Linked DNA regions of Pelodiscus sinensis. The protein of the gene in region 1 purifies or fractionates together with the protein of each later gene. This does not show direct contact. Links are inferred from orthologs where the notes say so. Each region holds a gene or a part of one and is shown in the gene's direction. Other genes may lie near its edges. The genes, in order: BCL7C, DPF2, SS18 and ARID1B.

Region 1 (7,329 bases):
CCTAGGGCCGTGGGGGAGGGGAGCCGCCGTCCCGTCTCTCCCTGGGCGGGCAGCCCGCCCCACGCTCCTTAGTTTTACTTCGTGAGTCTTTGCGCCCCTGATTAGGAGGCACCCGGGGCCAACGCCCCACCCTGGCAGGGGGGAGCCTCCGGCATAAACACATTCCTGAGCCGGCTTAAAGGGGCCGTGGGGCGGGAGGGGGGCACAGGTCCCGTGTCTCCGTCCTACACCCCTCTGGCCTCGCCCCCTGCTCCTCCCGCCCCCAGCGCTGCAAAGCCCCCTCCCCGAGGAGGAAGTAAGTGGGGGCGTCACGGTGCCCTGCCCGGCAAGAGCCAGCAGGGAGCTCTGGGAAGGGCTGGCAAGGCCCTGGGTTGCAATAGAACAGTACCTGGAAGAAACTCAGTTCCTTTCCCCCGCCCCCCGGCCCTCCACCCCCATATTCCCATTAGTCAGCTTTGGAGAGAGATGGTGGGGCCTAGTGGTTAGAGTGGGGGAGGCTGGGAGCCAGGAGTGCAGCGCTCCAGCCCAGCTTTGGGAGGGAAGCGGGGTGCAGTGGTTAGAGGGGTGGCTGGGAGCAGGGGTAACACCTCGGACCCTCCCTATGTGACCCAGCTCTGCGGAAATCCACAGACCCCCCCACCCGTCAGCAGGGGGCTTCTGGGCTTTCCTAAGCCTCTCTACGTGCAAAGACAGGAGGCAGCGAGGTACAGGGTCCACCGAGCTGCAGGTACACACCCCCAGCTGCGCCCCCAGCCCTGCCGGTGCCCCTCATTCCCGCCTCCCAGCCCTGCCGGCGCCCCTCACTCCCGCCCCCCAGCCCTGCCCCCAGCCCTGCCGGTGCCCCTCACTCCCACCCCCCAGCCCAGCCGGTGCCCCTCACTCCCACCCCACAGCCCCCACAAGCCCAGCCCTGCCCCTCACTCCCGCCCCCCAGCCCTGCCGGCGCTCCTCACTCCCGCCCCACAGCCCCCACAAGCCCAGCCCTGCCCCTCACTCCCACCCCCCAGCCCCCGCCAGCCCAGTCCTGCCCCTCACTCCCACCCCCCAGCCCCCGCCAGCCCAGTCCTGCCCCTCACTTCCACCCCCCAGCCCCCGCCAGCCCAGTCCTGCCCCTCACTCCCACCCCCCAGCCCCTGCCAGCCCAGTCCTGCCCCTCACTCCCACCCCCCAACCCCCGCCAGCCCAGCCCTGCCCCTCACTCCCGCCCCCCAGCCCCCGCCAGCCCAGTCCTGCCCCTCACTCCCGCCCCCCAGCCCCCGCCAGCCCAGTCCTGCCCCTCACTCTCGCCCCCCAGCCCCCGCCAGCCCAGTCCTGCCCCTCACTCCCGCCCCCCAGCCCCCGCCAGCCCTGCCCTGCCACTCACTCCTGCCCTCCAGCCCCCGCCAGCCCTGCCAGTGCCCCTCACTCCTGCCCCCCAGCCCCCACCAGCCCAGTCCTGTCCCTCACTCCCGGCCCCCCAGCCCTGCCCCTCACTCCTGCCCCCAGCCCAGTCCTGCCCCTCACTCCCACCCCGCAGCCCCTGCCAGCCCAGCCCCCCCCTCGTTTCCCTCACTCCAGACCTATAGCCCCCCCCCCCGCAGCAGGTTCCTGCCCGTGGGCGGCTGAGGTAATGGTGACCCCCCCAGCCTGCTCCAGGGTGAGTCACCCCAGCACAATGAGCTCAGTGTCTAACCCCAGGCCCCTCCATTGTAATCCCTGCTGAGCTACTGCCAGGATTAAAGGGGGGGGAAGGGGTAGGAGCCGGGACTCCTGGGTTCTGGGTCTAGGAATTGCAGCAAGGTGGGGAGGCCGGATATCCGGGCTCTCCCCTGACTGGGGGGGTCCTGTGGTGGGGGACAGGACACCAGGGCTCTCTCCTGACTGGGCAGGGATCTAGTGGGGGGGCGGGGAGGCAGTACACCTGGGTTCTTCTCTGGCTGGGGGCAGGATCTAGTGGGTGGGGGGTGGGAGGCGGGACACCTGGGTTCCTTGCTGGCGGGGGGGGGGATATAGTGGGGGGGAGGCCAGACACCCGGGTTCCTCGCTGGTGGGGGGGAAATAGTGGGGGGGAGGCCGAACAACCAGGTTCCTCGCTGGTGGGGGGGGATATAGTGGGGGGGGGGAAGGCTGGACACCCGGGTTCCTCGCTGGTGGGGGGGGATATAGTGGGGGGGGGGAAGGCTGGACACCCGGGTTCCTCGCTGGTGGGGGGGGATATAGTGGGGGGGGGGAAGGCTGGACACCCGGGTTCCTCGCTGGCGGGGGAGGGATATAGTGGGGGGGAGGGATATAGTGGGGGGGGAGGCTGGACACCCGGGTTCCTCGCTGGCGGGGGAGGGATATAGTGGGGGGGGGGGGAGTCGGACACCCGGGTTCTTCGCTGGTGTAGGGGATATGGGGGGGGCAGACATCCTCTTCCTCGCTGGCGGGGGGATATAGTGGGGGGGAGGCCAGACACCCGGGTTCCTCGCTGGCGGGGGGATATAGTGGGGGGGAGGCCAGACACCCGGGTTCCTCGCTGGCGGGGGAGGGATATAGTGGGGGGGGAGGGATATAGTGGGGGGGGGAGGCTGGACACCCGGGTTCCTCGCTGGCGGGGGGGGAGGGATATAGTGGGGGGGGGAGGCTGGACACCCGGGTTCCTCGCTGGCGGGGGAGGGATATAGTGGGGGGGGGGGGAGTCGGACACCCGGGTTCTTCGCTGGTGTAGGGGATATGGGGGGGGCAGACATCCTCTTCCTCGCTGGCGGGGGGATATAGTGGGGGGGAGGCCAGACACCCGGGTTCCTCGCTGGCGGGGGGGGATATAGTGGGGGGGGTGTCGGTCACCCGGGTTCCTCGCTGGCGGGGGGGGGGGAAATATAGTGGGGGGGGGTGTCGGTCACCCGGGTTCCTCGCTGGCGGGGGGGGGATATAGTGGGGGGGGTGTCGGTCACCCGGGTTCCTCGCTGGCGGGGGGGGGATATAGTGGGGGGGGGTGTCGGTCACCCGGGTTCCTCGCTGGCGGGGGGGGTGTCGGTCACCCGGGTTCCTCGCTGGCGGGGGGGGATATAGTGGGGGGAGGCCGAACACCCGGGTTCCTCGCTGGCGGGGGGGGGGATATAGTGGGGGGAGGCCGAACACCCGGGTTCCTCGCTGGCGGGGGGGGGGATATAGTGGGGGGAGGCCGAACACCCGGGTTCCTCGCTGGCGGGGGGGGATATAGTGGGGGGAGGCCGAACACCCGGGTTCCTCGCTGGCGGGGAGGGGGATATAGTGGGGGGAGGCCGAACACCCGGGTTCCTCGCTGGCGGGGGGGGGGGGATATAGTGGGGGGAGGCCGAACACCCGGGTTCCTCGCTGGCGGGGGCGGATATAGTGGGGGGGGCCGAACACCCGGGTTCCTCGCTGGCGGGGGGGGGATATAGTGGGGGGGAGGCCGAACACCCGGGTTCCTCGCTGGCGGGGGGGGGGGATATAGTGGGGGGAGGCCGAACACCCGGGTTCCTCGCTGGCGGGAGGGATATAGTGGGGGGGGGGCCGAACACCCGGGTTCCTCGCTGGCGGGGGGGATATAGTGGGGGGAGGCCGAACACCCGGGTTCCTCGCTGGCGGGGGCGGATATAGTGGGGGGGGCCGAACACCCGGGTTCCTCGCTGGCGGGAGGGATATAGTGGGGGGGGGGCCGAACACCCGGGTTCCTCGCTGGCGGGGGGGATATAGTGGGGGGGAGGCCGAACACCCGGGTTCCTCGCTGGCGGGAGGGATATAGTGGGGGGGGGGGCCGAACACCCGGGTTCCTCGCTGGCGGGGGGGATATAGTGGGGGGGAGGCCGAACACCCGGGTTCCTCGCTGGCGGGGGGGGATATAGTGGGGGGGAGGCCGAACACCCGGGTTCCTCGCTGGCGGGGGGGATATAGTGGGGGGGAGGCCGAACACCCGGGTTCCTCGCTGGCGGGGGGGATATAGTGGGGGGGAGGCCGAACACCCGGGTTCCTCGCTGGCGGGGGGGATATAGTGGGGGGGGCCGAACACCCGGGTTCCTCGCTGGCGGGGGGGATATAGTGGGGGGAGGCCGAACACCCGGGTTCCTCGCTGGCGGGGGGGATATAGTGGGGGGGGCCGAACACCCGGGTTCCTCGCTGGCGGGGGGGATATAGTGGGGGGGGCCGAACACCCGGGTTCCTCGCTGGCGGGGGGGATATAGTGGGGGGAGGCCGAACACCCGGGTTCCTCGCTGCCGGGGGCGGATATAGTGGGGGGGGCCGAACACCCGGGTTCCTCGCTGGCGGGGGGGGGGGATATAGTGGGGGGGAGGCCGAACACCCGGGTTCCTCGCTGGCGGGGGGGAATATAGTGGGGGGGTCGGGGTTGTGGGGGGGCAGGGGGTGCGGGACCCAGCCCGGCTCGCGGGGGTGCGCGTGTCTCTTGCGGAGAAGCCGGAGTCCCGCCCCCCAGGCCCGCCCGGCCCCGGCTCTGCCCGCGGAAGCCCGAGTTCGCTTCCGCTCCGCCTCCCGCAGCGAGCTCGGTCGGCGCGGGGCGGTTCTGCGCGGAGCCAGGGCCAGCGAGCCGGACCCGCGCGCAGTGACCCGCCCGGCGCCCCGGGGTCCCGTCCCCATGGCCGGGCGCACCGTGCGGGCCGAGACCCGCAGCCGGGCCAAGGATGACATCAAGAAGGTGATGGCAGCCATCGAGAGAGTGCGCCGATGGTGAGCGGCAGGGTGTGCGGGAGACGGGCGGCCTTGTGTGCGGCTGTTCCCCCGGGTGCCCTGCCCCAGAGCTGGCTGCATCTCAGAGCCGGGTGAGCTAGCCCCATGCGGCGTTATGTGCGGCCGTTCCCCTGGGTGTCCTGCCCCAGAGCTGGCTGCATCTCAGGGCCGGGTGAGTCAGCCCCCACGGCGTTATGTGCGGCTGTTCCCCCGGGTGTCCTGCCCCAGAGCTGGCTGCATCTCAGAGCCGGGTGAGTCAGCCCCCGCGGCGTTATGTGCGGCCGTTCCCCTGGGTGTCCTGCCCCAGAGCTGGCTGCATCTCAGAGCCGGGTGAGCTAGCCCCACACGGCGTTATGTGCGGCTGTTCCCCCGGGTGTCCTGCCCCAGAGCTGGCTGCATCTCAGAGCCGGGTGAGCTAGCCCCACGCGGCGTTATGTGCGGCCGTTCCCTCGGGTGCCCTGCCCCAGAGCTGGCTGCATCTCAGGGCCGGGTGAGCTAGCCCCACACGGCGTTATGTGCGGCTGTTCCCCCGGATGCCCTGCCCCAGAGCTGGCTGCATCTCAGGGCCGGGTGAGCTAGCCCCACGCGGCGTTATGTGCGGCCGTTCCCCCGGGTGTCCTGCCCCAGAGCTGGCTGCATCTCAGAGCCGGGTGAGTCAGCCCCCGCGGCGTTATGTGCGGCTGTTCCCCCGGGTGCCCTGCCCCAGAGCTGGCTGCATCTCAGGGCCGGGTGAGTCAGCCCCCGCAGCGTTATGTGCGGCCGTTCCCCCGGGTGCCCTGCCCCAGAGCTGGCTGCATCTCAGGGCCGGGTGAGCTAGCCCCACGCGGCGTTATGTGCGGCCGTTCCCCCGGGTGTCCTGCCCCAGAGCTGGCTGCATCTCAGAGTCGGGTGAGTCAGCCCCCGCGGCGTTATGTGCGGCTGTTCCCCCGGGTGCCCTGCCCCAGAGCTGGCTGCATCTCAGGGCCGGGTGAGTCAGCCCCCACGGCGTTATGTGCGGCCGTTCCCCCGGGTGCCCTGCCCCAGAGCTGGCTGCATCTCAGGGCCGGGTGAGCTAGCCCCACGCGGCGTTATGTGCGGCCGTTCCCCCGGGTGTCCTGCCCCAGAGCTGGCTGCATCTCAGAGCCGGGTGAGTCAGCCCCCGCAGCGTTATGTGCGGCTGTTCCCCCGGGTGCCCTGCCCCAGAGCTGGCTGCATCTCAGGGCCGGGTGAGTCAGCCCCCACGGCGTTATGTGCGGCTGTTCCCCCGGGTGCCCTGCCCCAGAGCTGGCTGCATCTCAGGGCCGGGTGAGTCAGCCCCCGCGGGGTTATGTGCGGCTGTTCCCCCGGATGCCCTGCCCCAGAGCTGGCTGCATCTCAGAGCCGGGTGAGCTAGCCCCATGCGGCGTTATGTGCGGCTGTTCCCCCGGGTGTCCTGCCCCAGAGCTGGCTGCATCTCAGAGCCGGGTGAGCTAGCCCCACGCGGCGTTATGTGCGGCCGTTCCCTCGGGTGTCCTGTCCCAGAGCTGGCTGCATCTCAGGGCCAGGTGAGCTAGCCCCACGCGGCATTATGTGCAGCCGTTCCCCCGGGTGTCCTGTCCCAGAGCTGGCTGCATCTCAGGGCCGGGTGAGCTAGCCCCACACGGCGTTATGTGCGGCCGTTCCCCCGGGTGTCCTGCCCCAGAGCTGGCTGCATCTCAGAGCTGGGTGAGCTAGCCCCACACGGCGTTATGTGCGGCCGTTCCCCTGGGTGTCCTGCCCCAGAGCTGGCTGCATCTCAGGGCCGGGTGAGCTAGCCCCACGCGGCGTTATGTGCGGCCGTTCCCCCGGGTGTCCTGCCCCAGAGCTGGCTGCATCTCAGAGCCGGGTGAGCTAGCCCCATGCGGCGTTATGTGCGGCCGTTCCCCCGGGTGCCCTGCCCCAGAGCTGGCTGCATCTCAGAGCCGGGCGAGTCACCTCCACGCGGCCTTGTGTGTGGCTGTTCCCTCGGGTGCCCTGCCCCAGAGCTGGCTGCATCTCAGAGCCGGGCGAGTCAGCCCCACGCAGCGTTATGTGCGGCTGTTCCCCCAGGTACCCTGCCCCAGAGCTGGCTGCATCTCAGGGCTGGGTGAGCTAGCCCCACGTGGCGTTATGTGCGGCTGTTCCCCCAGGTACCCTGCCCCAGAGCTGGCTGCATCTCAGAGCCGGGTGAGTCAGCCCCACGCAGCGTTATGTGCGGCCGTTCCCCCAGCTGCCCTGCCCCAGAGCTGGCTTCATCTCAGTGCCAGGCGAGTCAGCCCCAGGTGGTGTTATGTGCGGCTGTTCCCCCAAGTGCCCCACCCCAGAACCAGATGCATCTCAGCGCTGGGCCAGCCAGCCCCATGCAGTCTCGCTGGGTGGCTTTCCCCATTTATCCTACCCCAGAGGTGGTGCCATCTTCTTTAAAGTAACTCCTGTGGCCAAATGCAGGAGCAGGCTCTTAATTATGGCAATTAGTTATTCGTCCATTATTTAATTATTGTGTGTATTGTTCACCTCCCTTTCTCTATGGAAATTGCTTCTGAGATGTGACTAGCTGTCAAGTTCTTTACTCTGGATAATATGTCAGACAGTCATCTGCTGGACAAGAGAAGATAACAACTTACTATTGCTGCTCTTTAAGGGAGTCTGTATTTTAACTTGGGGAGGATGCGATTGGAGGGTTTC
Region 2 (7,685 bases), on another chromosome or scaffold:
GCAGGATCAGGAGGGTAGGGGCTGCCCCCTGCCCTGTGCCTGGCATCTGCTCCTGGCCCCACTCTGTGGAGAAGTTGATAGGCAAGCCAGGGCATTGGGCATGGGGGTCTGGTGGGGCTGTTGGGCTGTTCACTGTGGTTCTCAATCTGTGGGCCAGGAACTACATTGTGAGTTGCAGAGTAGCCCACGATGCTAAATTGTTTGAGAACCACAAGTTAGACTATGTTGCTTTCACTTTCTGCCTCCAATTCCTCTGAAATCCATGTATTTGTTCTCAGAAATGATCACTGAGCTTAGGAAGTGCTGGCAAAATAAATAAGCTTCTTTAGCAATGTGGTCCATATAGCAAGCAAGGTATGTGACCAGGAGTGATTAGAATAGGGAGCTAGGAGCCAGGACACTCGAGTTCCATTCCCAACTCTACCACTTAGGACAGCCTTTCGAGGTTGTCGGGCGCCAGGGGGCGTGGCTGTTCGCCCGCCAGGGGGCAGGGACACTTGCGCCCTGGGGGCGGCCCCCCCCCATAGCTGCATGCCCGGGGCCGGCGCTCCCCCCCGCCAGCGCCGCGCGCCCGGGGCCGGCACTCCCTCCGCCATGCGCCCAGTGCCAGGCCAGCCCCGAGCACCTGGCGGGCGCATGGAAGTGCCCCCGCGGGCACCGTGTTGGGGACCACGGACTTGGGAGATGTCTACAGTGCAGTTAAACCCTCCCAGCTGGCCTATGTGAGCTAACTTGGGCTGTTAAATGCAGTGTGGACTTTTCGGGCTTGGGCGTAGCCTGGGCTTTGTGAAGTGGGAAAGTACCAGAGCCTGGGCTCTGCCCCAAACACCTCTCAAAGAAGTGGGTTGTGCCCACAAAAGCTCATGATACCATCTATAAAATGCTGCAGGACTATTCGTTGTTTTTAAGAGGGGTTTTTTTTCGGTTACAGACTAAAACGGCTACCCCTCTGAAACCATGACATTTCAACAGCCCCATAGCTTGTGTCAGCTGCCAGCTATGGTTGTCTAACTGCAGTGTAGACTTGGTGAGTAATGTCAAAGCACCATTTTCCCCCAATGGGAAATACTTTGAGATGCTTGCATGACAACACTCCAGGCAGACAAAGGATCATTATCGGTCACCATGTTCTGCCCTGGCAGACACTCTGGTCTGTGTCCCAGCAGCTATACTGAGCAGCATCTTTGCTGCAGCAGATGGCACCCGTATTTTGTAACAACACAAGCAATGGGATAGGTGCTCCTGCGACTTCCTTTGGCAGCCCTGTAAATTATTGGTTTGGATAGAGAGACAAATTCACAGCACAGATAATCTCGTTTACAGGCTTTTATTTTAAATTATCTGTCTGGCTGGATGGGCAGTGTGAGAAAACAATCAGCATTTGTAACAAATGTTTAATTGGACAGAGTGGCTGATATAAACCTCACAGGAACCTCCAAAGTGTTTTTTGCACTGTGTGAGTCTGCCAACATGTAGAAACCCAGCAAGACACAGTACCTTGGGACTGTGTGGAGTGTCTGTTTGCCAACTTTCTGATGCCTTTATCGCTTCAGAAAAGTGTCACGTTTGCCAGGAGTAAAACAAACAGCATCTTCTCCTTGGAGTGATTTGTGGCCCTGCATAAATAAATGTGGTTTGGGGCTTTTTAGAGGTAATGTTTTCAAGAATTGAACTAGGAGGGTTAGAAATGTCCTTTTAAAAAAATGAAATGTGAGAGTCTTGTGTAATCACATGACTAGAGAAATAGGCTTTAAGGAAAACATCCCATTTTTCAAGTTTTGCAATAAAATTATTAAGAGCTGGCAGCTCTCAGTGACCCTGATTCTAGTGTCCACATTTTAAAAAGGAAGTTGGAATATTGGAGAAGGTCCAGAAAAGAGGCGCACAACTGATTTGAGGGCTATAGACACTTCCTGCCAAGGAGAGACTGAAAGAACTCAATGCGTTTATCAAAAAGGTGGCTTGATTACAGTGTGACATAGGTAGGAAACATCAGAGTACCAAGTGGCTTCTTAGCCAAGCTGAAAAGGCAGAACAAGAACCAATGGCTGGAAGCTCAAGTCAAACAAACTCAAATTAGAAATTAGGCACAATTAACCACAAAAGGTGATTGGAACAAAGTCCAGGACCGGATTGAGCAGGGGGGCTAGCTGGGCAGCTGCCTGGGGTGCCAACCTTTGGGGGGCACCTGATTGAAGTGGTAAGGGGTGCGGTGCGCCCGGGGGTGTGGCCGCGCATGTGCCGCTCGCCTGGGAGCACGACGCCCCTTACCATGTCAATTAGGTGACTCGTGCCCGGGGGTAGGGCGCGCGTGTGCCGCGCACCTGCTGCCCGGGGCGCAAGTATGGCTCGGTCTGGCACTGACAAAGTCCCATGGGATGTGTCTGCAAATCCAGACTGGATGCCTTTCGAGAAGATGGCGTATAGCCTCTTAAATTATGCTTTAGTCAAAAACCAGATCCTGGGCTCACCGCAGGAGTAGGTGAGGGACATTGACTGGCCTGTGATGTACAGGAGGTCAGACTGAAACTCTATGAATTTATGAAAATTCCAGTGTAGATGTTTAGGGTCTCCAGGTGTCCGGTTTTAAACCGGACAGTCCAGTATTTGAGCTTTCTGTTTGGGAAACAAATTGAGAGAATATAAATGAGAAAATATAAATGTCCAGTATTTTCTAAATAAGATGTAATGTAGATTGTGATGTAATGTCAAGTGTGTCCGATATTTTTGTTGAAACCATCTGGCAACTCTGTAGATGTTACATTTTTCTTCTGTTCATCTTCTTCTAGTCCATCCATTTTGTACACCTCTGTTTTCCTCTAATAACCTAACGTGTTGCTAATGACAAAAAGTAAGAACATTCTTCTTAAAATCCTCAACTAAAGTAGATCAGACGCCATTGGCCTGAATTATAATTTACAGCAACTAAGGATCTGGTACAGAGTTTTAATCTCCCAGCCCTGGTCTACATTAGGGAGTTACTTAGAAATAACTCTTCTTATTTTGAAATAATAAGTGGAGCGTTCACGCTATTAAGTCCGTTATTTTGAAATAAGTCTGGTTATTTTGAAATACTAACTCCTGCTTTCCATGAGGATTGATGCTTATTTCAAAATAGATATTTCGAAATAGCAGTAGGGACGCTCCACTGTTGCTATTTTGAAATATCTACTTCCCAGTCATTCAAAGTAATTATTCCCCAGTGCTTCGTGGGCCTCTAAGTCAAGGTAGCACATCCACATTAACGGAGCCTGCCTCGGACTAATTTTGAGGCTTCCTCATAGCGTGGACATGCTATTTCGAAATTATTATTTTGGGAGTTTAATTTGAAATAACTTATTTTGAAATAATTTCCTATTGTAGACATGCCCCCAGAGCCTCTGTTAGGCCTACACAAGAAGAAATCTCATAGGGCTAGTTCAACGGTTTATCCAAATGGGTGCATCACCAAACCTTTATCAGTGCATCTTCTTTATGCAGATAAACTGTTTAATGCTGATGAAGATGGAGATACAATATGAGTTTTTAATGTAAATAAATACTCAGGCTATTTCCAGCTGGGGTTGGCAAAGGCTCAACTTAAATACAATCTTTCGAGCAGCTTGTCCAGTGAAAGTTGGCCGAGAAATTACAGAGATGTCAGGCATACTGATTTATACTTTTTATTTAGCTAGATGACTAATTTGCTTAGCTCTGTGCACTGGATCCCTAGAGAATCCATGCACTCTGGGTCTGATCCAAAGCCTCTTGAAGTCAATGGAAACACTCAGCAGGCATATTGGGTCAAGCACTTCATGCATAAACCATGCATTTTGTTCTTTGAGACTCAGCACTTTTTATGCTGTGGCAATCTGTGCATTTTGTTAACTGAGGGTGCATGCATTTTGCAGTGTTGAAAAACTCTTGTGATTTGTTCACGATTCTTGTGATTTTGGTGGTTTCCCTAAAGTCACATTGACTGGAATCAAGAGAATGCGTGAGAATCTCAGCTTCCATTAAGAAGAATAAAAGGTAAGTGTCTAACCCTAATGGCTGTAGAGAAGTTGGAAATGAGAGCATCTGAAATATTCAGAATGCAGAAGGTAAATTTTAAAAAAATTGCAATTAATTTTTAAAAGAATCTCATGATTTTCAAGACAGTCTCATAATTCTGACTCTCAAATTTCTGAACACCTAAGTGATTTAGGAGCAGAAGTGACATTGAATGGCAATGGGACTGTGTTCCTAAATTACTTAGGGACCTCTTAAAGTCCATCTCTTACCCACAAGCCATGCATTTCATACACAGGGACTCCATACTCTTGTACAGAGTTTAGGCACAGGGCCAATCTTTTCCCTTAATTCCCAGGGGATCTGCCTTTTATGTACAGAAATTGAAATTCTTTTGGGAAGAATTTTCAAAGGCATCTAAATCACTTAGCAGCAAAGTCCCATTGACGTTCAACAGGATGCATGCTCCTAAGTCACTTATGAGCTTTTGAAAATTGTATCTTTTATCTAGGCATCTTATTCACGCTCTCTCCACGCCTTTTTATCCAGAGACGATCTATGGATACTATGCACAGATAAACCATGCTCCTTAGATATACGGAAAACTAGCCTTCAATCCCAGGAGGAAGCTCCTACATTTCCTCTTGCATCTTGTGCACGATCCGTCCCCGTGGACGCCGGGGGCACTGGTCATTCTAGGCATGCAGCTGACGCCGCCCTCTGAGAATGCGGGAAAGAGGAGGGCAAGTTTCACCACTAAACAGTCCGCCCCCGTTTGCAGCCCTTTCTGGACGGGCAGCCCAAAGCCTGCCCTAGCGCGCTCCACGAATCAGTCTGCCCGCTCGCTGGGGCTGGCTCGTGCACTTGGCCCGGGGAGGAGTTTGCAGGCCGCTTCTCCGGCGGGCTGCAGTGCAGCTCTAGCATTGGCCCGCGCGGCAGCGCGGAGGAGGGGGGGCAGCCCTTGGTGCGCTGGCTCGAGGAGCAGGGTGGGGAAGGAAGAGCCCGGCTGCCGCTCACTCGGTCGCTGGCTGCAGCTCGGAGCAGGAGTCCCCCCGCCAGCGCCGCCGGGGCAGAGGGTGAGCCGGGAAGGGGGGGGGGGTAGGGAGTGGCTGCGCGGGGCGGTCGGTGCTTGGCGGTGCCGCCTAACCCACCGCAGCAGTTTCACTTGCCAAGGAGCTCGAAGCTGGCGGAGAGTCGGGACTCCTGGGTTCTGCTCCCGAGGCGCGAGTCGGGTCAGGACGCTTGGGCTCCGGTCTCTCTCGTGAGAGGGGAGTGGGGTCGAGCGGTTAGAGCAGAGTGGGGCTGGGAGGCAGGACTCCTGGGTTCCTTTCCCGTCTGTGGGAGGCAGGACAGGCACTGCAATGGCTCCCTGGGGTGGGGGCGGGGGTGTGGTAGTGGCATATTTTCCTTTGCCTCAGTTTCCCTGTTTGTCAGGGTGCGACCATGAGGCCCAGAATGTTTGAGCGTTGTTTTCAGTACCTAGAAAGCGTCAGAGTCTTAGCTCTGGGGGCCAGGAGGGCAGCCTTTTCCTGCTCTGCAGGCTGGTCGCTGCTACCACTTTTCTTCCTTGTTGAAGGCAGCGGGCTTGGCACTGAAATGGGATCCCCTCCTGTCTCATTCCAGCTGTTCACTGCCAGGGGATTTGATTCCAAGGGTGTGTGTGTGAAATCTGTAATCAGTAAAACTTGTGAAGTTGGCTCTTTGGGCTTGCAACAAGAGGGATGGGGGGAAATTAATGCTCTCACATTTTAAACCAAGCTGTGGGTGTCTGGAACTGCCTTTTACATTTGGAGCTGGACTTCAGGGTATCATTTACCCATCATCGTCTATATAAAGCTCTGCTGGTCCCCAGGAGGGTTTGTTTTACACCTATATTATATGTCTCCATCTAGCACTATCTACATCTGGCACCATCTACATCCAGCAACATGTCTTACATAATTTTAGAAACCAACTGTGAAGTTTATAATTAACTATCTTTAGAATATCTTTGGCAAACTGAGATGCTTGAATAGATGTCATGTTCCAGATGAGGGGATAAAGGGCTGATTCTTACATTAGACCTCTTGACACCAGCAGAGCAATAAGAGCCTTGGGGTAAATGAGAAGCAGGCAGGGTATGGCGATAGCTGGGTAACCACACAGATGTTCCACTTAGTTCTTTCTATGTAAATCTAGAGTAATTCCATGGGACCCCATTTACTCTTTTGTTCCTGAGAGCAGAATCTAGCCCAATGTAAGAATATTGAAATTACCATCAGGTCCAGGATCCTGCCTCTACATTGCCCAGTTCCTGCTGCTTCAGGGGAAGATGCAAGAAATTTGTAGAAGACAAATATGAGGTTACTTGGCCCAAAGGGAAACTTCCATCTCACCCCAAAAGGTAGGTCAAAGTACCTGGATCAACCCAGACAGCTGTTTTTGTCATCTGCTCTTAAAAATCTGCAGTGGTGGAGATTCCTTAGTTTCCCTGGGTCATTTATTCCAATGCTTAACTAATGTGACAGGAAGTTTTTCCTAATGTCCAATTTAAACCACTCTTGCTGCCATTTAAGCCCACTACCTCTTTTAAAGTATTTGTTACATTATTATTTATATTTCAGTAGCAACTTGAGACCCTAACAGAGAATGGGATCCTACTGTGCCTGGCACTGTACAGACAGATATTGACCCTGCTCCAAAAAGTATACCATGTAAACCCACAGAGCAGATAAAAGGTGTTAGTGGAAACAGTGAACTGGCAAAGGGAGGGGAAGAGCCTAGAACCCATTTTTTTCTGATGCTCAGCCACATCTTAGCCACTAACCTGCATTACTTTCTTCTTACAGGAGCTTCAGGGGGTAGCTGAGTTAGTTTGTTACAGAAGAAAACAACAAATGGTCTGGTAGCACTTTATAGACATGTTTTGTTAGTCTGTAAAATGCTACCAAACCATTTGTTGTTTTCTTCTTACAGTTAGACTCGTTTTATGGGTTCAGAAGTTTGGTCCTACCTTTACCTTCTTTAGTTTCCCCCGTGTTCTTGGATGATTCTCTCCTCTCCAACTGGCCAAGGCAAGGAGCAAGTTCAAATGCTGCACGGTGTCACTGGCGTTCTGTAACTTAGCCAGCAGCAGGTGCTTGCCATAGGAATACCTGCCACTAGCCTGACTTTGCACTGCCTGGCACCTAGATATCGCAGGTATGCTGGCACATTATTGGCTACTAACAAAGCTAATATCTTGGGCGTCCTGGAATAAAGAACTTCTTAAGGTTGGCCTTGCTCCCAAAGCCCATCTGCTTTGCTATGCCAATCCCTCCCCATCGCACTGTGCTGCTAGGCTAATATGGTCTCTCGTGGCATTTTTGTAACTGCAGGTTGAACCTCTCTAGTCCGGCACCTCTCTGTTCCGGCAGCATCCGTGATCTGGGATGATTTTAGTTAGCCCCGTGTTCACTTATCATGGGTGTGTGGCTAAGTTTCCCACGGTCCCATAAAGTTTGTTTACGGCCACCACAGTCCTGGCTTCCAGTGTTCTGTGCTGTTACTTAGCTCTAATTTACTCTTAAATGTCTTCTAGAGCCCAGTAAGCAGTGGAATTGTTGGTAATGCTGCTAGACAATATTGTCCTCTGATGATCAGGCAAATTCTCTGGTTTGGCACCAGTCAGATCGCAACGGTGCTGGACTAGAGAGGTTCAACCTGTAATGATCTGT
Region 3 (7,218 bases), on another chromosome or scaffold:
AAAGTCAGTGAGAGCATATGCTGTTTGTTCCACACTTTTGCTAACAAAGTACTTCTAGCCCCCATGAGTGGCTTTTGCTTTGTCAGCAGGAGAGCTCTGGTGCTGACAAAGCAGTGTTCACACATGCGGACATGTGAGGGAGGTTCAAGGGGCCACATGCCCACTCAAATGCCACAGTAGAAGGGGAAGAGGATATTAGGAGGGATCGCCCTCCACTCACTGGTGGCCGTGGGGGAAAGTGGAATAACATGGCTTCACTCCCCAGAGGCTGCCACAGCCAGTGCTGTAACCAGCTAATTTTGCGCCTGAGGCAAGAATATAAAATTGCACCCCTTCATGTTTATATATTCATAGTAGTTATTTCGTAGAAAAAGGGAAAATAAACAATAATAATAAAATAATAATAATACAATGTTTATTTATTATAGTTGAGATCTGCATAACCAATCAATTAATACATATATATATATATATAATTATAAAATATCACCATGTCATGTACTATTAGGTAATCGTTTTTAATTGTACTTTGCACACTTTTTATGAGGCAAACCCATCAATAATTGTGTTGTAATTAATATTATTCGCTACCTCGTGTTCTATTGATAAAATGGGACATATTTGATAATCTCTCCTGACCTGTGGATGCTTGAAGGTAGTTCTTAATTAATTTTAGTTTACTAAAACTTCTTTCAGAAGAAGCCATAGTCACTGGCAAGCAGAGAAATATTTGCAGGGCGATTTCAAAATTTGGATAAGATTCGGCCAGACTATATTCATAAATTAACTGTAGAAGGTCCAAACTAGTTGCAGATGAAATGTTTGGCAACAGCGCTAATGCCTGATGTTTAAAACTCTGAATCTCTGACAAAATTTCCGAGGCATTCAAATCGCTGCCATATTTAAAACTTAAATCTGCTGCTTTTTGAAGATTAGTAGTATCCATTTTAACAAAAGAATCTCCTGATAAAAAAATTGAAATCCGAAGAGCTCTCATTTAGCGTTTCATATCTCCAGTTTTAATTCAAATATTATGCAGTTAAATATGCTTTTATTTGTATTTTGAATGATTCTTCAGCTGATAAATTAACACTTTCATCTTGTGACTCAAAGCTGTTGTCTTTTAACTTTTCACTTTCTGCATTCTGTAAATTCTGCTGATATTTCTATATTTTGGACCGTTTTTTTACAATCAGTAAAAATATCTTCCACATAGCTCTTGTTTCCATGGATCATCTTAGAAGCCTGACAAACAGAAATGCCTTTTGCTTGTAACGCTTTATTCATTCTGGCAATGTGAGTTAGAATATTATGCCAAATGGATAACTGCACAAAAACTCAAAATTAATTTTTTAAGAAAGTTATTAGCTGCTAAAACTGTTTCAGCACATTTAGATGAAGCAGCAACATCATTTAGGACCTTAGTAACTTCTGAAATCTGCAAATTTAAAGCTGCAATTGAATTTGCTTTTGATGCCCATCTAGTATCAGCATGACCTTTTAGTGATACTTTTAATAAACCCATTAAAATATTCCAGCGGGTGGTAGAATTAGAAATAAAAAGTGTTTATTTTTGTACAGTGCCAAAGAATGAAACCATAGAGGAATTTACAGAAGCTGCATGTACTCCAACGAAATTGAGACTGTGGGCCAAGCACGGTACACAATTTGCAAATTTATTTATTGCAGAATGACAGCTTTGATGCCTTTGTACATGCCTGACATATTTGCACCATTATTGTACCCTTGGCCTCATGCGTTTTGAAGATCAATTCCATTCTTTTCAAACGTCTTTACTATTTCTTTGGCTAATCCACTTCCTGTTTTTTCCTTGGTCTCAATAAAGTCTATGAAACTTTCTTCTATAGTTATGATTCTATCATCAATTTTCACAGCTCACAATCTGAGATATTTGATCACGATGAGGTATATCTGGTGTATAATCCAGAAGCATAGAATAATATTTTGCTTTTTTAAAATTTTGGATATAATTTCAATTCGAACTTGGTTTGCTATTAACCCAATACAGCCGGTCCCCGAGTTACGAACGGTCGATTTATGACCGTTAGCACTTATGACCAAACCTCCCATTAAGCGGTCGTAAAGGTGGTTCCCGAGTTACGAACGCAACCCACGCTTATGAACAGCGCAGTCGCATGTAACTTAATGGGTCCGACTTATGAACACTTCGAGTTACGGCCACGTGTTTGGTTTGTAACTCAGGACCAGGTGTAAACTCATTTTGGATAGCCAGTGAAAAAGAGCTCACCGAACCTTTTTGTGAGTTACAATATGTTGTTTTAGTTCAACATCATAATGACTTATAAATTCCATTAGATTAAGAAATATTCCCGAATTAGGGTTTCCTATAACACTACTCAATCCTCTAAGTGGAAGATTATTTTTGGCACAAAAAATCTAGAATTATTTTCACGATATGTCTCCATTTTTGCTTATCAGCTTCAATAGCTTTTTTGTAGTGCATCATCAATATATTCTCTACTCAATCTTTTTCGCATGGATTTCCATTTACAGAAATTTTCATGACGAATGCTTGAATTTTCATGCTCTACAATACGGTTTAAATTTTTCAAAGCATTAAATCTGCTGGTTTTCTGATTTGCAATATTCAGTTTGGAAAAACGCTGATCAAATAATATGCATGGAAAACAAAAAAATGGCCTTACTAGTTTCAGAATAAATAAGCCAATTGCGCTCTAAAATTCTTCATTATAAAGCACTTTTTAAAACCAATCACCTGAAAATTTTTGGCCCTCTGATGATACTGATTCATGAAAATCCATGGTTTCTCTCTCGCCAGGTGCTTGTTCAATAAGATGGCATCTTATTTTGTCATTTATAGAGAGCCAAGATGGTGGATTGTTAAAATTTATTTATATTACAGTTGAATCTTGTTGATAGTCCTGGTCATTGTTAATGTCAATAATCATAATTGGTGACAAAGTTGAGACCTTGAGATTGAGCTTTTGGTCAATCTCAGAGTCAGAGATTGATGCTGAAGCTGTAATGTCAAGTTCCAGTTGCTGGTCTGTGGTAATAATCAGTACTGAAGTTGTATGATCATTGTCATCCGAGGGTTCAGCTAATGGTGCATTTTCAGTATTCAGTGCATTTTCCACTAGCCATTTCCCCATTTCTCTCAACATCTTTTCATTTTTCTCTCATGGTGAATTTTTGTCATTTAAGAAACTCTGCCCCAGAAGGTCATTTCCATTTGGAATTCATAATGTAGGATCTTTTTCTGAGTGGCCTAAATTCCGGCCTTGTTACGGCTCAGATGCAAAGCATATTTTACTACACCACCACTCAAGGGAGAGATGAGACACTCCCCTGCCCCACACCAACCAGAAGCAGAGCGACTCTGCTGGCGCTGGGATTGCAGGTTTGTGTCACTCCCCTTCCCCTACCTCCACCACCAGCTGCTAGTCAGTGCAGAGGCCTGGACCCCTGCAACGGTGCCCGACCACCTACTAGTCCCCCAAACCACATCACTGGGGCGGGCGGGAGAGGTGGGACAGGGTCCAGGGCAGGAAAGGGAAGAGGCTCAGAGATGTTATCCCGTCCCCCTCCTTCAGCAGTCTCCCCGGCACCTTAGTCGCTGGGGAATAGGGAGGTTAAGAACCTATAGACAACAACATTGCAAGTGCAGACTTTCCCCCTCCAGCCCCAGAAGCGACACCAACGTGAGTGCACGACTCCTGAGCAAGTCAGTTCCCAAATAAAACCACCTGTCCCTGCGCAAGTTGCAGCAGCTCCCGCCCGGACCCTTTAGAGGGGCCAGGCTCCTGCCCCAGCGGAGGGGATGGAACGTTCCCGGGGCCGGGACGCAGCAGCACGCGCTCCCAATAAGTCTCCTGCCCTCACTGCAACTTGCACAAGCCCCGCCCCGGGTCGCTCAGCCCAGGAACGTAATGACTAGGCGCAACCAAGACTGGGCGCGGGGGAGGAGGGGAAACGAGCCACTTTCTCCTGTAAAGTGAGCACTTCCAGCTCCCCCAACTCCCGGCCGTACCACTTGCAGCCTGTCTCAGGCTGAGAGCTCTGGGTAGGAGTGTACCATATTAGCAGGGGGGGCGGAATGCGCAACGAAAAGGACGCGCTTAAAGCAGGCAAGCGGCTGCTTCCTGTCAACGAAGCTGCTGCTCGCTAGGGGGAACGGGAGGGTCCCAGTTGTCGCTGGGGTTGCCACATGCGGTCGGAAGGCGGAGGGCAGTGGCAGCGAGGCTTGCACCCCCTCTTCTCGATCGGGATGGGCTGGCCCTGCGAGCCGTCACGCCCCCTCCCTCTCGCGGCGGTGAATGTTCTTCCCTGATCGCAGCCTCCTCCCGTCGCTGCTTGGCGCGCGGCCGGGGCGCTGGACCCTCGTGCGCGCAGGGAGCCGACATGTCGGTGGCGTTCGCGGCCCCGAGGCAGCGGGGCAAGGGCGAGATCACGCCGGCCGCCATCCAGAAGGTGAGGGAGGGGCCGGGCCCGACACGGGGCTGCTTCCGGCCCGGCCAGGGGGCGGCGACTGGCGGGGGCTGGAAACACGCCGGGGCAGGGCTGTGGCGCTAGGGGCGGAGGGCCCCCTGGGGAGGCAGGAGTGCGGGGGGGGGGCTGCGGAGGGGCCCCTGGGGAGGCAGGAGTGCGGGGGGGGGGGGGGGAATCTTCCCCAGGTGTGCAGAAGAGCCCTGGGCGCCTCCAAAGCGTCTCTCTTTCACCCACCCAAGTTGGTTCAATAGAATATTTTAAACACCATCTCCCCCCCCCCCACCATACACACACACACACACACACACTGCCCGCTCCACACCGTGTCTCTTAATTGGGGTAACGGGTCAGGCCAATAACTACCCCAGAGGTGTGTATTGGTTAACTGTCATATCTCACCTTTTGGGATGAACAGGCTTTTATCACTTCGGTCTTTGTCCAGTGCTTATTGGTGAGGTTAGACAAAACTACAGCGTCTCAATTTAGTTTTATTGATCCCTTTAAAAAAAAAAATCTTGCCTAGTAAGGAGGAGAGGTGGTTTGAGCAGAGCCTTGAGACTTAGGGTGCCCCTTAAGATTGTGATGGGCAAATACTGGCCCACAGGCTAGACTTGATCTGCCATAGTTAGCCTCCGATGATCGCTTTTCCCATCGGCTGTGAATCACTTCTTCCTGGCCACTGGGAAGGGTGGGTAAAGGTGTGGCCTGGACACTGCTTCCCACATCTCCCATTGGCCGGAACAGCAATCTTCAGCCAGCAGGAGCTGTGATTGCCAGTGCCTCTGGAGACACAGGTAAATATAGCGGAGGAAGCCTGTCAGGGTATAACCCACACTGTTTTATTGCTCACCCCTGCTCTAGGTGCTATTATAGGCACTGCTGATATCTTGGTATGTGCTTCTGTGATTAAAGAAAATCACCTCACTGTTTACCCCTTTCTCTAGAGCATTTATAAATAAGTTGGATAGAATTAGTCCCTGGACAGACCCTTGGGGGACCCCACTAGTTGCCTCTCTCCACTCAACATTTACCATTTATTGCTACCTTTAGTTTCCTTTTAACCAGTTATCAGTCCATGAAAGTACTTTCCCTCTAAGAATACTATATCCACTGCATCCCTCTTGTCCACATGCTTGTTGACACCACTCAGAGAACTCTAGTAGATTAGTTAAGGCATGATTTCCCTTTACAGAAACCATGTTGTCTTTCCTTCAACAAATTATGTTCATTTATGTGTCTGACAATTTTAGTTTCAACTAATTTGCCCGGTACTGACATTAGACTTACCAGTCTGTAATTTCCAGGATCATTTCTAGAGCCCTTTTAAAATATTGGTGTCACGTTAGCTATCTTCCAGTCACTAGGTACAGAAGCCGATTTAAAAGATAAATTACAAACCACAGTTAATAGTTACGTACTTTCACATTTGAGTTCTGAAAGAACTCTTGGGTGAATGCCATCTGGTCCCAGTGACTTGTTACTGTTAAGTTTATCGATTTGTTCCAAAACCTCCTCTGGGACAATTACTCAGATTTGTCACTTAAAAAGAATGACTCAAGTTTTGGGAATCTAAGACCGAAGCAAAGAATTCATTTAGTTTTTCCACAATTACCTTATCTTTGAGTGCTTCTTTGGCATCTCCATTGTCCAGAGGCCCCACTGGTTGTTTAGCAAGCTTCTTGCTTCTGATGTACTTAAACATTTTGCTATTACTGTTTGATTTTTTTTGACTAGCTGTTCTTCAAACTCCTTTTTGACTACTTATATTTTTTACACTTAATTTGACAGAGTTTATGCTCCTTTCTATTTTCCTCACTAGGATTTAACTTCCACTTTTTAAAACATTGCCTTTTTATCTCTTACTGCTTCTTGGTTATGTCAAGTCATGGTGGCACTTTTTTTGTTTCTTTTACTGTTTTAAATTTTGGGTATACATTTAAGTTGGGACTCTATTATGGTGTCTTTGAAAAGTTTCCATTCAGCTTGCAGGGATTTTACTTTTGTCACTGTACCGTTCAATTTCTGTTTAACTAACCTCCTCATTTTTGTTCCCATTTATGAAATTAAATGCCATAGTGTTGGACTGCTGAGGCATTTTGCCCACCACAGGGATGTTAAATTTTATTACATTATGGTCACTATTTCCAAGTGGTCCAGTTATATATACCTCTTGGACCATATGCTGTGCTCCACTTTTGACTAAATCAAGATTTGTCTCTTCCCCTTGTGTATTCCAGAACCAGCTGCTCCAAGAAGCAGTCATTTAAGGGATCAAGAAATTTTATCTCTGCATCCCATCCTGAGGTGCCGTGTAATCAGTCAATATGGGGATAGGTGAAATCCCCTACTATACTGAGTTTTTTATTTTGATAGCCTCTCTAATCTCCCTTAGCATATCATAGTCACTATCACTGTCCTGATCAGGTGGTCAATAATATATCATTACTGCTATATTCTTATTATTGGAGCATGGAATTACTACCCATAAAAATTCTATGGAATATTTTGGCTCATTTCAGATTTTTACTTCACTTGATTCTACATTTTCTTTCACGTATAGTGCCACTCCGCCATGAGCATGACCTGTTCTGTCCTTCTGATGTATTTTGTACCCTGATATGACTGTCCCCCATTGATTACTTTCATTCCACCAAGTTTGTGATGCCTATTATATCAATATCCTCCTTTAATACGAGGCACCCTAGTTCACCCATCTTAATATTTAGA
Region 4 (7,404 bases), on another chromosome or scaffold:
AAAACGAGGTTTTCTGCGGTCAAAAAAACTGCCGCGCTCTTTCGATTTACTTTTGAAAGAACACCGCAGCAGTCTAAATGCAGGGAAAGTTGGTTTTTTTTAAAGTCCACTTTTTTGAAAAAACCGTGTAGTCAAGACACACCCTTACATAGCAACAAGGGGAGAAAGGAAATGTTAAGTAAAGGAAAAATGGAAAACAATAAATGACAAGAGGATTTTGAGGGCTGTAGTACCTGCAACTACATTTTTCACTTAAAACAAAAAACAACACTGATAAAGATAATGTGACCATGAATTACCATTCTTTTGAAGACAGGATGTATGGCTTTTTCTTACACTCCCAAGAAATACAATGTTGTTTCCAAACAATGGCACAGGAAACAAAATTCTTAGGGTGTTCTATCAAAGTTCATAGATTTCAGAATGAGAGAACTCGGCAGCCCTCCATTAGTGCGAAGTGTAAAGCTGTTTTGTTTTTTTTTTAAATTGCTCATGCTGTTTCACTGAAGTACAGAGCTTCAAAAACTATTCATTAAAAAAGCCTCAGTTCAGCAAACCACTTTAACCAAGCTCTTAACTTGAAATAAGTGAATAATCTTAGTGATTTCAATGGGATTATTCACGTGTAGAATTAAGCACATGTTTAAATATTTTACTGTTTTGGACCTAAATCTTGCAGGAAAACAATTGTTCATATAATTCCCTAATGAAATAATGAATGATTTTATTGAAAAGAAGATAGTAATGTTCTGGAGGCCTTTTGGTTACGCACAGCCAGAATAAATTGATTAAACTCCCCATTATAAGTGGTATCTGAAAAACGGATTTTAATCAAATGGCAAAATGTGTCACTCTCACACATTAGGCTTTTGGTAAACACTGTGTACTTCAAAATATATTAAGATCAGATAGGATGAAATATTGTACTTTACCTAAGCAGATTATTGCATATTGTCCGTTACTCGATTGTAATAGTTCATACATCCTATTAATTAATAATATATAAAATCAATATAGGTAATAAAAATTAGTGATGTCTCATTGCATTTGTTCTGTGACTTACAATGCAGACTTCACCTTGAGATTCACATAAAGCTAAACCAAAGCACAGTACTCTGTACTTATGTGTGTACGTGTATTTTAACTCTTTTTGTTTTTTGTTTTGTTTAGGATCTGATCGCTGTCCTAGTGAAACCAATACATTTATTTCAATATAATTTGGATAGGGCCTTTAACCAGTGAAAGAAGTGTTAATTTAATAATTCTGAAAATTTAAATCTTGGTTTTTTATGGTCCCCCCCCCCTTTAAATCACTGCAAATCTATAATAACTAGAATAGGGAAAATATGGTGAATTTGTGATCTGCGTTACCTAGATGTGTAGGGGAATTAACTAGAAGACCAAACTGTTAAATCCAAACAGAGACTTCAAGCAAAATAATGTTGCAGAGTACAGTGGTTAACTGGGTAGGACACAACAAAGTGGCAAGGTGGTAAAACTCTGGTTGGGCCATTAATTTTTAACCCTTACTATAAAAATATAGAACCCCAAAACAAAATGGTTATTTTCTCTACCTTCTCTAACAATAAGACCATAGCATTGTCAAAATATTGGCTTATACTCTATATAACATTCAGAAGCCACTGTTCTGACCAAACAAAAAGATAGCTGCTTTAGTGCTGTGAAATGTGTAGGGCTTTCATATTGGACCAGCTATACAGAGATGTCTTGGGAATCTATATAGATGTCATAGTGCAATAAACAGTAAATTTAGAAAAATATATTGTTAATCCTGGAAATGGATCCCAAATAAAGGAGTTTTAAATTTATCAGAAAAATCAACATCCAGCATACTACAAAGCATATGAAAGAGAAATTGTGTTTAATTAATATACATTTATAAAAAATGCAGTTGAAATATAACATTCAAATCATGTATTTGTAGCATTAAGCATTAGATTTCATAATTTTGTAACAGACACCACGCATGACAATTACAGCTTTTCACATTATATGCCTATATATATTTTTAATTTGTACAACAGAGAAAGCTTTTGGAAAGGATCATATGAATTGAACATACACTACCACTCATCAACTGAGCAAAGATGGTACAAGATATTTCAACATTATTTGTGATCTAAAAAACAAAACTGAACCATAGTTGCTTTGTGTTGTGCTTCACTTGCACAGACTGCAGTGCCTTCTGTCTGCTTTCGGGTGTGGCATCTGCCATTGGGGAGGAAAAACTGGCATGTGTTGCCTTTTATAGCAGACTGATTTCATTGTGTTGAGGGCCTCTATTTTACAGTCTTAATTCCAATCTTGTAGCTGAGTTGTTAAAACAAATGTAATGAAAAAGACCGAGAAGAATAAACTTTTCATTTTTTGAGGTTCATTATTTTCCCCAGGAAAAATATTTAAAAAGTAAATCAGCATTAAACTTCGTGGCTTTTTTTTTTTTATTCAGAACTAGTGAAATGAGTCAAAGTATTGAAATCCTCAAAAGAGCTACCTTCAATACATCTTATCAGATTTGTAAATATATATATATATATATATATATACTTATATTTTTGCTTTAATATAAGTGCCCAAAAGCATAAATGTGTAATTGATTTTATATTTTATTGTAGAATATACATATAAATAAATATGCACAAGAAGACATCTATATTTATATTTGCATATGAAAGCCTTAAAAATCAACCTATGTGGTTTAATGTGTATAATTAGTATGTGTTTGAATATAAAAAAGAAGAAAATCCAGGAGAAAATGTCAAAAAAGCTCACTAACAAAGATGTAGTATTCTCTTGGCAAAAGCTGATGAATGATTTGGCATGAATTCATCTTACAGTTCTGTTACTCTCTCTTCTACAAAGATGATATACCCCTTTTCTAGCAGTTTGCATAGAACTGCAATTTGTTGTTGTTACAGACTGTAATGACCCTTGGGAACGCACCTGATTCCCCCCACTAGAATTATTCACTGATTTTTTTTCTACTCTATCAGTTTCTATTAACTATTTAGCATTTTTGTACTTACAGAGAGTGCAAAAACATAAACAAAAAAAAAAGAGAAAGAATTAAAATAGAACTAATATCAACATGTAGTTGAATGTTGAGACTTTTACAAAGTAGAACCATGCTGGAAAATTCAATGGACATTGAACTCACATTGTTCATACATTTATCAACATGCTGTCATGAAGAGTCTGTTCTTTAATGTTTTCACAGTGGAAATAAAAAAATCCCACTTCCTACTCATTACATCATCATTTATGACAAGTTATGTTTTATGTTCTGTCAGTATTAAAAAGTCTATTTAGTGAGCTGAAAATGCTATTTAACAGATTTTAATAAAATATTTATTTCATATAACATTTTAGATTCTTATTAAATTGTCTAAATACCATCAATATCCTGTCTTACTTGTGTCCATGGAAGAATATTTAATTTTCCAACTACTTTTATTAGCTGAATGTGGTGTTTGACTGTTACGTTTTCCTGATCAAGTTCTTACTTATATTAAGACAATTATTTTAAAAAATTAACTAGCAATAGCTGGAGAAATCTGCTATATAAATCTAAGTCATTAGGAGTAATGGTTGCTTTGATTATATATTGTATTTTATATTACTACATTTTCATGAGTGTCTTAGATATACTAGAAAATAATGTTGTTTCGGGACACAATTATAGGACTTTCCTTGGGAGCCTTGTAATCTGCATATAAATACGAGAACATGTTCCAAAAAGCTCCATACGTAATGCTTATATTAAAAACATCATTAGCACAAATGATCATTAGAACTTTGAAACAGCTGGACACTACAGATAATTTAAAAAATGCCATTACTACTGAATTTTGTGTTAATTTGAACATTTTACAAGTATTTTTATTTTTCCATAAAACAATTTGTAGGCAATACATTTTAGTGTCTTGAAATCAGAAAACCTTAGACTGCCTACTGGCTTGAAAAACAGAGAAAAGATTTTGAAAGTTTGACCAATTTTTTTTTTAATCCAATAAAATATATTGCCAACAATGTGTTGGATTTTCTCTTTGTCTACTAAGCTGTTATGATGAGCACCTTCAGCTCTCACCCCAAAAATACATGGGCAGAAAGCCAAATTAATCCATGATGTAACAACTTTTACTTCAGTTGAATTACACCAGGCCTGAATTTGACCCACCCAGTGATGCTTAGTTGTCCTTTTTGGGTAAGATCATTTGTAGCAATCAGTTTAATATTCCATTCTCTGTGGAAGACTATAACCTAGATTTGCAAGGGAGTTGAGTGATAGATTTTTTCCATCTCTAACTACTACGATGCTTGACGGGCACAAAATACAAAAAGGGAGCGTACATCCTTTTGCATTAGCAGAAGCAGCTGTCTTGGTTCGGGGCTGTTGAAGGTTGTAATGCGCGTCTCTCTCTGACTGCCACCGCTAAACCTGCTGCAGGAGGAGGAGGGGAAAGTCCAGTCCGCGTTTTCCAAGTGTACAGGAGTAATCAGAGAGAAGTGGATAATAGTTGTTAGAGCTCGCTCTCTCTCTCATGCCATGCTGGGCCAGATAGGCTCAGTCAGACGTGTATTTACCCATATCCGGGTTAGAGAGGAAAAGAAAAAAAAGTTTCATTTAAACCTGAACAAAAAACTTTCAACATGAAATCACACAGCAGGAACAGGCACAGACCGTAAGACATTCTTACTGTTTCTAATCTCAATCACGGACTTTGGGGAGGGGAATTTTTATATATATTTTTTGTGTGTGGAGTGATCAGGAGGGGTTACTGTTTATTCAAATAAGTTGGTCCCCCCCCCTTTCTCTTTTTGCCCTTCTCCCCTCCTTTGCCCACCCTCCCACCCCGTTTCGCTTTTATTTTATTTTTGAGGGTGGGTGTTGGATTTTTGCTTTCGGACTGGCAATGTTGCAATGATCATGGCCGCGCAAGTAGCAGCGGCTCCGGCGGGTGCGAAGAACAACAAGGGCAAAACCCCGAGTTTGCCGGGCAACTTGAGCCAGGATCTCAACTCGGGGGGAGCAGCCGCCGCGGCCACCGGGGGACCCGGAGCGGGCTCCATGCTGGGGGTCGGAGATGGGACTAACAGCAGCAGCAGCCTGAATAATGTAGATCACCATCTCCTCCACCACCATAATGAACTGAACATGGCCAATAATGCAACTTCTGCTGCTGCTGCCACCGGTAATAACAACAACAACAACGCCAGCACCAGCGGCAGCAGCAGTAGCTCCTCTTCGGAGTCGGCTCTGAAAGAAGGTGGAAGCTCCTCGGGGTTACCTTCATCTTCTTCTTCCTCCGCCTCTAACCCGGGCTCGGCCATGGAGACGGGGCTGCTCCCCAACCACAAACTGAAAAACGTTGGAGGCGATCACCCTGCCGCACCTCCCCACCACCACCATGCCCACCACCCGCATCACCATGCCCACCACCACCATGCCCACCACCCGCACCACCACCACCACCACCACCACCATGCACTACAGCAGCAGCTAAATCAATTCCAGCAGCCGCCGCCGCCTCAGCACCATCCGATGCAGAATAACAACAGCCTCGGCGGCGGCAGCAACAACAACAACGGCGGTGGCGGCGCTGCTCAGCCCAGTGCAGACATGGAGCAGCAGCAACATGGAGGAAAAGACGGTGTTTTGGGAAATCAGGCCGAGCCCCCTCCGCCGCCGCCGCCGCAGCAAATGCTGAATAAAGGGGGCGAGGAGGAAGAGCTGCCCGGCAAAATGGGCGAGCAGATCGGCGGCCGCTACGAGCACCCCAGCCTGGGACCTTTGGGCGGGCAGCAGCAGCCGCCTCAGAGCGCTGGGAGCGGCGGCGGCGGCACTAGCAGCCTCGGCGGCGGGAGCGGGAGCGGGGGAGGCGGCGGCCCCTCCGCCGTGGGTGTCTCGGAGTTTAATAGCTATTACGGCAACCCTGCCCCTGCCAGCAGCGCTACAGCGAGCCGAGCCGGGCCTTGCTTTGATCAACATGGCGGACAACAAAGCCCCGGGATGGGGCTGATGCACCCCACGGCGGCCCCCAACAGCATGGACCCCCTGCAAAACTCCCACGAGGGTTACCCCAACAGCCAGTACAACCACTACCCCGGCTACGGCCGGCCCGGCGCCGCCGCCGCAGCGGGAGGAGCGGCGGCAGCAGCAGCAGGAGGAGGCGGCTATGGGGGCTCGTCCTCTGGCTACGGGGTGCTGAGCTCCCCCCGGCAGCAGGGCAGCAGCATGATGATGGGCCCGGGCGGAGGGGCCAGCCTGGGCAAGGCTGCTGCGAGTTCTGGGGCTGGAGGCTTCCAGAGATTTGCCGGGCAGAACCAGCACCCGTCCGGAGCCACCCCTACCTTGAACCAGCTGCTCACTTCCCCCAGCCCCATGATGAGGAGCTATGGCAGCAGCTACCCTGATTACAGCAACCCCAGTGCCCCACCACAGCAGCAGCCGCAAGCCCAGGCAGCAGGGGCAGTCCCGGGAAGCCAGCAGGCAGCAGCGGGCATGGGCATGGGCAAAGACATGGGCTCCCAGTATGGAGCTGCAAGCCCAGCCTGGGCAGCAGCACAACAAAGAGCTCACCCAGCTATGAGCCCTGGAAGCACTGGTCAGACCATCAGCAGAACCCAGGTAAACCACCAGACACCCCCTCACCCCAAAACACTCCCCACTTGTATGTTTTGAATGTGTGTCTAGTGCTTTAGTTTCTCTCCAATTTACTTTTCCTCCTCTCGGCCATATAAACTACTTGCTGCCTCCATAACAGGGTTTGGTAAGACACAGTGTCCGATTGATTGGAGGCATCCGACAAATGGTTTCACTGTGCAGAATTGCACTATTCGCTTACAAAATTGAACTGTATAAAGTTTTCCTCCAGTTTGAAACAGATTTGAAGATAGAAGGCCCCGAGGAAAAGCAGTTTGGGTGAGGAGGGAGGAGTTGCTTTTGTAACTACACTGTCAGATTCTGGAAAATAACATTGACTGCCCTCTATTAGAATTTTTTTTTTTTTTTAGACCAAGCAGATAACTTTGATACCCTTTTAACAAATTAGTTGTATTGCTGATGAAGACAGTATGGTGAAATCCAGCAAAAATACAGCCAGGTTGCCTTGGCTCTTGGAAGGGTGAGTGCCATAGTCAAGAAGGTTTATTTGGTAGGCGTTGAGGTGGTGTATTCTTCTTTTATATTTGCCTCAAGCATCCAACCGGGATGAGATGAAAATAAGTGTTATTTGTAAAGTGAATATAATACATAAGTATTATTATTCCCTTTTTGAAATAATCCATACTTTGATGAAGAGACTGGAAGAATCCTTTATTTAAATAAACAGAACCAGATATTGAGAGCTCTGCTTGTTTTGACTAATATACACATCCCCGATA

The links.
Region 2: the proteins of BCL7C (region 1) and DPF2 purify together in Homo sapiens (affinity purification with mass spectrometry; 4 studies listed by BioGRID and IntAct, counting the BioPlex papers as one, with this or other methods). This does not show direct contact. The link is inferred for Pelodiscus sinensis from reciprocal best matches to the Homo sapiens genes BCL7C and DPF2.
Region 3: the proteins of BCL7C (region 1) and SS18 purify together in Homo sapiens (affinity purification with mass spectrometry; 3 studies listed by BioGRID and IntAct, counting the BioPlex papers as one, with this or other methods). This does not show direct contact. The link is inferred for Pelodiscus sinensis from reciprocal best matches to the Homo sapiens genes BCL7C and SS18.
Region 4: the proteins of BCL7C (region 1) and ARID1B purify together in Homo sapiens (affinity purification with mass spectrometry; 4 studies listed by BioGRID and IntAct, counting the BioPlex papers as one, with this or other methods). This does not show direct contact. The link is inferred for Pelodiscus sinensis from reciprocal best matches to the Homo sapiens genes BCL7C and ARID1B.

The regions. Positions count from the first base shown.
Region 1 is NC_134714.1:134,097,274-134,104,602, forward strand, and holds the start of BCL7C (B-cell CLL/lymphoma 7 protein family member C), read left to right. Parts: upstream 1-4,319; 5' UTR 4,320-4,576; coding exon 4,577-4,668; intron 4,669-7,329. UniProt on the Homo sapiens protein: May play an anti-apoptotic role.
Region 2 is NC_134721.1:34,379,279-34,386,963, reverse strand, and holds the start of DPF2 (zinc finger protein ubi-d4), read left to right. Parts: upstream 1-4,676; 5' UTR 4,677-4,691; coding exon 4,692-5,066; intron 5,067-6,251; coding exon 6,252-6,373; intron 6,374-7,685. UniProt on the Homo sapiens protein: Plays an active role in transcriptional regulation by binding modified histones H3 and H4. Is a negative regulator of myeloid differentiation of hematopoietic progenitor cells. Might also have a role in the development and maturation of lymphoid cells.
Region 3 is NC_134712.1:76,224,298-76,231,515, forward strand, and holds the start of SS18 (protein SSXT), read left to right. Parts: upstream 1-4,204; 5' UTR 4,205-4,404; coding exon 4,405-4,473; intron 4,474-7,218. UniProt on the Homo sapiens protein: Appears to function synergistically with RBM14 as a transcriptional coactivator. Isoform 1 and isoform 2 function in nuclear receptor coactivation. Isoform 1 and isoform 2 function in general transcriptional coactivation.
Region 4 is NC_134713.1:111,317,204-111,324,607, forward strand, and holds the start of ARID1B (AT-rich interactive domain-containing protein 1B), read left to right. Parts: upstream 1-4,387; 5' UTR 4,388-4,942; coding exon 4,943-6,649; intron 6,650-7,404. UniProt on the Homo sapiens protein: Involved in transcriptional activation and repression of select genes by chromatin remodeling (alteration of DNA-nucleosome topology).